Canis lupus familiaris: one gene and its partner. The protein of the gene in region 1 interacts with the protein of each later gene in a pairwise test. Links are inferred from orthologs where the notes say so. Each region holds a gene or a part of one and is shown in the gene's direction. Other genes may lie near its edges.

Evidence for each region. The genes of interacting proteins can lie anywhere in the genome.
Region 2: the proteins of BIRC2 (region 1) and NMB interact in binary tests that used the Homo sapiens proteins (3 or more experiments, as listed by UniProt). The two-hybrid records come from large-scale screens. The link is inferred for Canis lupus familiaris from reciprocal best matches to the Homo sapiens genes BIRC2 and NMB.

The regions. Positions count from the first base shown.
Region 1 is NC_049226.1:29,437,006-29,440,649, reverse strand, and holds part of BIRC2 (baculoviral IAP repeat-containing protein 2), read left to right. Parts: intron 1-1,323; coding exon 1,324-1,566; intron 1,567-3,357; coding exon 3,358-3,612; intron 3,613-3,644. UniProt on the Homo sapiens protein: Multi-functional protein which regulates not only caspases and apoptosis, but also modulates inflammatory signaling and immunity, mitogenic kinase signaling, and cell proliferation, as well as cell invasion and metastasis.
Region 2 is NC_049224.1:54,417,434-54,421,616, reverse strand, and holds the start of NMB (neuromedin-B), read left to right. Parts: upstream 1-1,348; 5' UTR 1,349-1,458; coding exon 1,459-1,621; intron 1,622-2,236; coding exon 2,237-2,409; intron 2,410-4,183. UniProt on the Homo sapiens protein: Stimulates smooth muscle contraction. Induces sighing by acting directly on the pre-Botzinger complex, a cluster of several thousand neurons in the ventrolateral medulla responsible for inspiration during respiratory activity.

The DNA.
Region 1 (3,644 bases):
AGTTGACTCAAGTTGGGTGTCACCCGAGCTCCTCTTTGTGTGTTCCATCTGTTGGCTGTCCTTTCATCCCTGCCTTCCTCACATGCCTGAATCTGCGTGCCTCTCTCCATGTCCATCTGGCACTATCAGCCTAGTGCAAACTGCCATCACTGTCGTGCTTTCCTGGCGGGTCTCCTCATTCCATCTTAGCTCATTAAAGTTTATCACAGAGCTGCCAGAATCATCATCTGAGAAAACAAATCCGGTCTTAACATCCTTCACTTAAGATGTATAGAAAACATTCTAGTACATGTAGAGTAAAAGATAAGCTGGCGAGGCTTTACTATGAGATCTGGGGATCATCCTCATCTCTGGGTGCCTTTCACCATTGTGTCTCTAGTTCTTGAATGTGTCAGGATTTCTTTGAGATACTCCCATAACTCCTCTTTATTCATTCACATGCTTGTTCTGATGTTGCCACTTCAGACTGGCTTTCTGTGTGTGTGTGTGTGTGTGTGTGTGTGTGTGTGTGTGTGTGTGTGTGTATGTGTGTGTGTGAGACCACCTGCAGGCGGCTTTGGAGAGACATGATTATTAGAACACTTTGCCAGCAGGTGGCTGTCATGCATCATGTAGAATGATGTTTTCTTGTCATTTCCACCAAAGTGTCAAGTTGGTCAGTGCTGACTCTGTTTCTAGGAAGTGCTTCCCTGCTCCACCATGTCAGTTGTTTTCTTCCCTCCTGGGTTATTTTAATCACTTTTCACAGCTTGATTTTCTTTATATCATGGTCTGAAATCAAATGACTTCTTCAGTCATATTTTTATGTCGTTAGACATATTTTGCATGAACTAGTCTTAACTCTCCTTACATCTATGTTACTCTCGGATTTATCTGTCCACCTCTCTAGATCTCATGTATCCTGGCAAGTCCAGACTCTGACGCCACCTTTAATGAAGTCTTTGTTGGTTTCCCTGCTTTCTTGTAGCATTCCTACAGTTGTGTAGCATATTGGTTCCTGAAAATGACCATATGTTGGAATCATTTCAGAAATTTAAAAAAAAACATGGATTCCTAAGCCCTGTGCTTTGAGTCGCTCATTAAGTAGGTTCCAGGGTGTAGTGTGGGAAGTGGAATTTTAAAAAAGGATAGCATATTTTTACATTCTTATTTGATCCTCTTGCATTCATACTTTTGTTGGAATTATAGGTAATTGGTGCATAAAGCTTATGTGCCATACCAGGATATGAGCAGCAGGAGAGGAAAGATTGTGCCATAGTCATCATTTTTCTCTGTAGTTTTACATTTGTGGGATTTAACATTGGTACATGTCTTTTCAAATAGTTGTCCATTTTGGACCTGGAGAAAACCATTCAGAAGACACAGTCATGATGAACACCCCGGTGGTGAAGGCCGCCTTGGAGATGGGCTTCAGTAGGATCCTGGTGAGGCAGACCGTGCAGAGTAAGATCCTGAGCACTGGGGAGAACTACAGAACAGTTAATGAGATTGTGTTAGCACTTCTTAATGCTGAAGATGAGACCCGGGAGGAAGAGAAGGAAAGACAAACTGAAGAAATGGCATCAGGTACTTGGGAATGTTAATTACCCGCCCTATTTCCGTGAGGGTCACGGGACTGGATGACCCGTTGCAGGAGCACCAGCATCTGTCCACTAACTCCTGGCAGCAGTGCCAGGAGCCTCCGACACACATCCCCTTCTGCACTGTGGGCAGTGCTCAGACTGGACTGTAGCTTTCTAGAATATGTTTATTTTCCAACAAGATCTGTGATTTATGCCAGTCCGGATTTTAGCCTAACTTCTTGAAGTATATTGCTTTTCTTCTCCTATGTAACAAATTTAAATTGTTATATATGAGAAGAAAGGAAGACTTTAAAGTTGAATGGAGGTCTTCTTTCAGTGTTTTAAAAAATTTCCTTGAAATCTTATCCTTACCATGGTGTTTGACTCCCTGATCCTTGCTAAGTGGTCCTTATACAAAAATGGAACTGGTGGTGAAGTCCTAGGGCTTGAAAAGCCCCTGCCCAGCCCAGAGACAGTGGGGAGCCAATCAGGGAGCTGATTGTGGTGTTCATGCAGGTCGTGCTAAGCTTTAGACTTCCTAAATAAGTCTCTTGAGAAATCATTCCTTCAGCAAATACAAATGGAGCGTGAACACCTGTCAGATACTGTGCTGTAGTGGTAACTATGGTGCTTACCTGTGGGGATTGTGGATGAGGTGTGGAGTCTAGTACACAAAAGAACCAGCAGAGGTGAGGGGTGCGTAGACAGTGTGGATTGGGAGTTCAGGCTGGAAGACATTTTGTGTTGAACCTGGTAAGTAATGATAGAAATGGTTTAAGAGAACCTCATTGTGTGGTCGTGTAGAAAAATGCAAAGTCTGATTTTGATATTGAAACAGATTCGTGTTTTAATCCTGGCTCTGTCAGAAGAAAACAGGTTCTATGAAGGTTGCGGTTCTATGAAGTGGAGATCATAGTACAAATTGCACAAGGTTACTGTGAGAATTAAATAAGTTGCAAACAAAACATTTTAGCATAGTGCAAGACCTGAAAACATTTTTTTGTTAAGTAGATTGATGTAGGAAGTGACAGGGCTGAGGGCACAGGGCCAGGAAGCAGCCTGGCTGGCATGGGATCCTAGGCCTGTCCTGGCGGGATGAGTACCACTACTGTCCTCCCCTCCTCTTGAAGTGGTGAAGCCCAGGGTGAAAAGGACACTCATCCAGGGCACTGGTTCTGCAACGGATTCTTTCTCTGACTTTGGGGAGGTCACTCATCTTCTGAGTTTCTTTTCCTCCATATTTGAGAATGAGAAGTAGTCTTACCTGCTTGTTTAATTGACAGGATCTTTTGTATCAAATAAGGGAGTTTATACGAAAGCCCTTATAAAACTAAAGTGGTATGATGCAAATAGAAGTCAGTATTATTAATTTCATAGGGGAGAAAGTACAGAGGTGGCAGGTTTTTACTGGTATTTATTTATCTGTTTATTTATTTATTTATTTATTTATTTATTTATTTATTTATTTATTTTACTGGTCTTTAAAATTCTCTGCTTTCTTTCTATGGAATAGCAGGGTTCTAAGACATGTAAATATCTCCACTTTTAGAAGTGACAACAACAGAGACCCTGTGTGTTGTGTGTACTATATGATATGCTTTAGCTGAATCTTCCAGAAGTTTTCTAAATGATAGACATTAAATTTAAGTGCAAACAAGTAATTTTGTGCTTTTTCAAGCACCTATTTATTTAGCGTCTAAATTGTTGGTAGGTTTGGTTGTTAGTGACTATGTGAGTATCGTTGGAGCACTTTAAGATCTAATGGATTTTTTTTTCTTCTTTCTTTTAAATGAAGATGATTTGTCATTAATTCGGAGGAATAGAATGGCTCTTTTTCAACAGTTGACTTGTGTGCTTCCTATCCTGGATAATCTTTTAAAGGCCAATGTAATTAATAAACAGGAACATGATATCATTAAACAAAAAACACAGATACCTTTGCAAGCGAGAGAACTGATTGATACTGTCTTAGTTAAAGGAAACTCTGCTGCCAACATCTTCAAAAGTTGTTTAAAAGAAATCGACTCTACATTATATAAGAACTTATTTGGTGAGTTTTTGGTAAAATTATTTCAGAAATCT
Region 2 (4,183 bases), on another chromosome or scaffold:
AGGGAGACAGGGAGGGGGTCACAAAGGGAACGATTATTATGGGAAGGTGATAAGAGCTATATTTGTACACCATGGCTGAGCAGTGAGAATGCAGAGGTGTAAATGCCAGAGTGGGGGATGAGAAGCTAGGAGACTGGGGGAAAAGCCAGGGCCAGAAATGGAGTGTCCCTCTCCTGTGTGTCATGCACCTAGGAACTCAACATGATAACCAGCCTCTCCTAATTCACCTTCCCTTTTAGAGTGGTGATCCATAGAGTTAGCAGGCCTTGCTGAGCTAGATACATGAAAGGGTAATAATACCAAGTACCATTATTGAGCCAGACTGGGAAGTAGGTTCAGTCACAGCTAAACCATGCAGTGTTTCAGGGAAGAGCCCAGAATCCCAGGGTTGGTCTGCACCCCACTCCTTCATCATTCATTCCTTTGGCACTGTTTCCCCAGCGAGATGGTAAACTCCCTTGAATTATCTTGTTTCCTCTCCTGTGCCTAGCATGGTGCTCCTGAAGGTTGGTGTTTAGTGAACATTTAAGCAAAACATTGAGGCAAAAATAAATGTATTATTCTGGAGCACAGCGTTTTACTCATTAAGTGATGGCAGTGACCCAATAGTTCTTTCCAAAACAAGTCTGGACTTGGGAGGAGGAAAATGCTGGTTGTGAGAGGGCAGTCCTATAGGACTGCTCCTTCCTGCCACAAAATAATTGTGCTAAATGTAAAATTATTACAAATAGGGTAATAGTTATTACTATTTTACAGTTGAAACTGAGGTTCAGGGGAATCGCACAATTTGTATATGAACTCCTGGTCTGGTCCCCAGAAAGCTGCCTCCTGCCCAAGTGGTATACAGCGTTCATTCCTGGGGTTGGGGGTACTCACTATCTCACCATCCATCATTCTGCACTGTCAGCTGGAGCACCTGCTGTGGTTTCTACACCACCTGGGGAGTGCTGGCGGTGAGAAGGCAGAGAGCAGAGTGAACATGGGTCACATTCCCTAAGAGGGAGGGGCTGGCAGGCATTTTTATGGCTCTCCTGGTGCTTGGCACTTTGCGGGGCACTGTAGCGCGAGGGTCCTCAACCCTACTCTTACAGAGGTTCCAAAGCGAAGTAACCACTCGTGGGCCGACAGCCAGTGGGAGCAGCGAGGCGGTCACCGAGGAAACGGGCTTTGCCCGGGGTCAGGGTCCTCGGCCGGAGGGTAGTGGGCGTGGACGCCAACGCCCAGTAGTGGAAGCAGGGCCAAGGCGGGCGCGAGAGCGCAAGCGCGCCGCGCGGGGGGTCCTGCGGGGCGGGGCGTTCTGGGGGCAGGGCTGGGGCTGCTGCGAGCGCGGGGGGCGGGCTCCTCCGGACAGGCTCCGCCCCACCCCCGGGGCGCGGGTTTAAAAGGAGGAAAGGAGGGCGCCGCGGCTTCGGCGGCTGCGAAGTGCACAGGGGTTGGAGGAGCGGCGAGGCTGCAGCCATGACCCTGCGGGCGGGGGGCGCTCGGCTGCTCAGCGGGCTGCTGCTCTTCGCTCTGCTCGCTGCGGCTGCCGGGGCCGCGCCGCTCAGCTGGGGTACCCCAGAGCATCGCAGCGGGGCCATCAAGATCCGAGTGCACCCGCGGGGCAACCTCTGGGCCACCGGTAAGTCTTCGGGACCCGGGCAAGCGCCCCTCACCCTGCTCTGATCCCATTTTCTTTCTCAGGCCGTTTCTCGGCCGCGGACACTCGTGTCTGCGCTGGTGAGGACCCTGGAACTTGTCTAATAGATGGAAAACTTGACACCCAGACACATCACTCAGCCAGTTAAAGCAGAGCTGGGTCTGGATCCTAGATCTGCCTGCCAGCCAGTGCCCCTTGCCTTAGGCAGGTCTACTACTGAGTCTTCCAACCTCTGGTGTGTCTTCTCTTTGCACCTCGCCTTCCAGACAATTCTTCACTCTCCACTTTCCTCCTTGCCCTTGCCTTGTCCCTCTTGTAAGCAGGCAGCACAACTGGCAGAGCTTCCCACTGGCCCTTTGCCATCTAACCTCCTTCCAGCTGTACCATCCTCTCCATCATCTCTTCCTGTTCAGGAGAAGCGGCGGTACAGGCTTTGCCACCACCCAGGGGTGTTTGTGTCTCCTTGAGGAGGAGGAGGAAGATTGATCGGGGATCTTCCCAGCATGAGAACTGAAAGTTGGGAGAGGTGGGGAACTTTCCCACTGGGATAGAATCCTTGCTCCCCAACTTCCTTGTGCCTTGGCACCACCTTTCTAGGTCACTTCATGGGCAAGAAGAGTCTGGAAACCCCCAGCCCATTCCTCTTGGGGACAGCTTCCCACGTCTCCCTGAGGGACCAGAGACTGCAGCTGAGTCATGATCTGCCCAGGATCCTCCGTCTAAAGAAAGTTCTGGGCATGAGCCTCAGTGGGCCAGCACCTCAGCCCCAGGTGAGCCAAGCTCCAACCTCAGACTCAGGAGAGGCCCAGCCAGGGCTGCTCCTGGTTCCAGCATTGGGCATAGCGTGTGACAGCCCCCCAGGGTGTGATGGGCCTCAGAAAGCCAGGGATTCCAGGCTCTCTGTGTGATCCAGAGTCAAAGGGAAAAGACTTCAAAGAAAAGAAGCTGACCTTCCCAGCAAACCTAACAGAGCAAGAAGTAGGGAGAAAGTTCCCCCTCACCCAGACCCCAGTCTAAAGTCACAGCCTAGGATTAATTAGCCAGCCTCTTGCAACGGGACCTTCTCCACACCCTCCCTGACTTGCCCCACCCCAGCTTCCACCTTTGCTGTACCTTGTTTGTACTTGTGGCTACAGCTGGGATCCTGAGGCCCAGAAAGGAGAAGAGTCAGCATCGGAGACAGAGTCAGACCTTGTTCACCTTGACCAGCACTCTTCTCAGTCACTCATCTGCCTCAGTGACCCTCACTGCAGGGTTTCTCAACCTCAGGACTCTTGACATTCAGGGCTGGAGAATTCTTTCTTGTGGGGGCTGCCCTGTGCATTGGTGGAAGTTTTATTTTTTATTTTTAAAGACTTTATTTATGAAAGAGAGAGAGAGAGAGGCAGAGACACAGGCAGAGGGAGAAGCAGGCTCCTTGCGGGGAGCCTGATGCAGGACTCTATCCCTGGACCCCAGGATCATGCCCTGAGCCAAAGATAGACACTGAACCACTGAGCCACCCAGGTGCCCTGGAGGTATAGTGTTATCCCTTGTCTCTACCCACTAGAGCATCCTCCCCACCACCACCCCATTTGTGACAATCACAAAAAACCCCAAAACAACACCAAAAGAAAGGCCTCCAGACTTCGCCAGAGCTCTTCTCGTGAGAGGGAAGGGGAGGGAGCCCAAATTACCCCTGTTTGAAACCACTGACCTATGACATTCAAGACCTGAAAGCTAGAGCTAAGCCAGCTTTAGTGTCTAGCCTGGTGGAAGGGCAGTTCCTCCATTCCCTGCTCCTGATGCTGTCCCCATCCCACACCACCTTCCCTCATACTTTGTTACTGTGCTCAGAAGGCAGGGTAGTGTGGTAGAATGTGGGTTCTGGTGACAGCATGCTAGCCTCATAACCTAGCTGTTTAGTAGTTGTGCGACTTTAAAGGCCTATCTTCCTCATGTATAAAATGGGGATGATAGCACCTATCTTGTATTAAATGAGACCATTTGTGTCATGTCTTCAGCATGATGCCTGGCACGTAGAAACCACTTAGTAAATAGGAGCTGTTGCCGGTCTGGGAGCTCCCTGGGAGCACCTGTCACAGACTCACCTTCATATCCCCCACTGTGCCCAGCATATAGTGCATGTATTTTCAAAGAAGGGAGGGGCATTTCCTAGAGATGGTCCAACGCCAGCCCCAGTCAACCTCCCGGGCCCTCCCTGTGCACAAAACCACCAGCACCTGGGGACCTCAGATATAGGGACCAGGAGCTTCGGCTAGCTGAGTCTGAAGGGAGGTGGTGTTACCCTGGAGCTGTTGGTCATGCAGACCAACTAGCGAACCTCAGAGGAAGCAGTACATACCTAGCCCGGGGGGGTGGGGCTTCACAAGTGAGGTCTGGGGCAGAGCTGGGGGTGAAGGAGTGAAAACGCTGACACTGGGCTAGATCCAGGCACATATGTGGACTTTACTTCCACGATTTCCTTGACTGTCATGACCACTCTGAAGTTGGGGCTGTCACTCTGAGATAATCGGTGCCCTGACCCTTCCCAGGCTCTTCTTC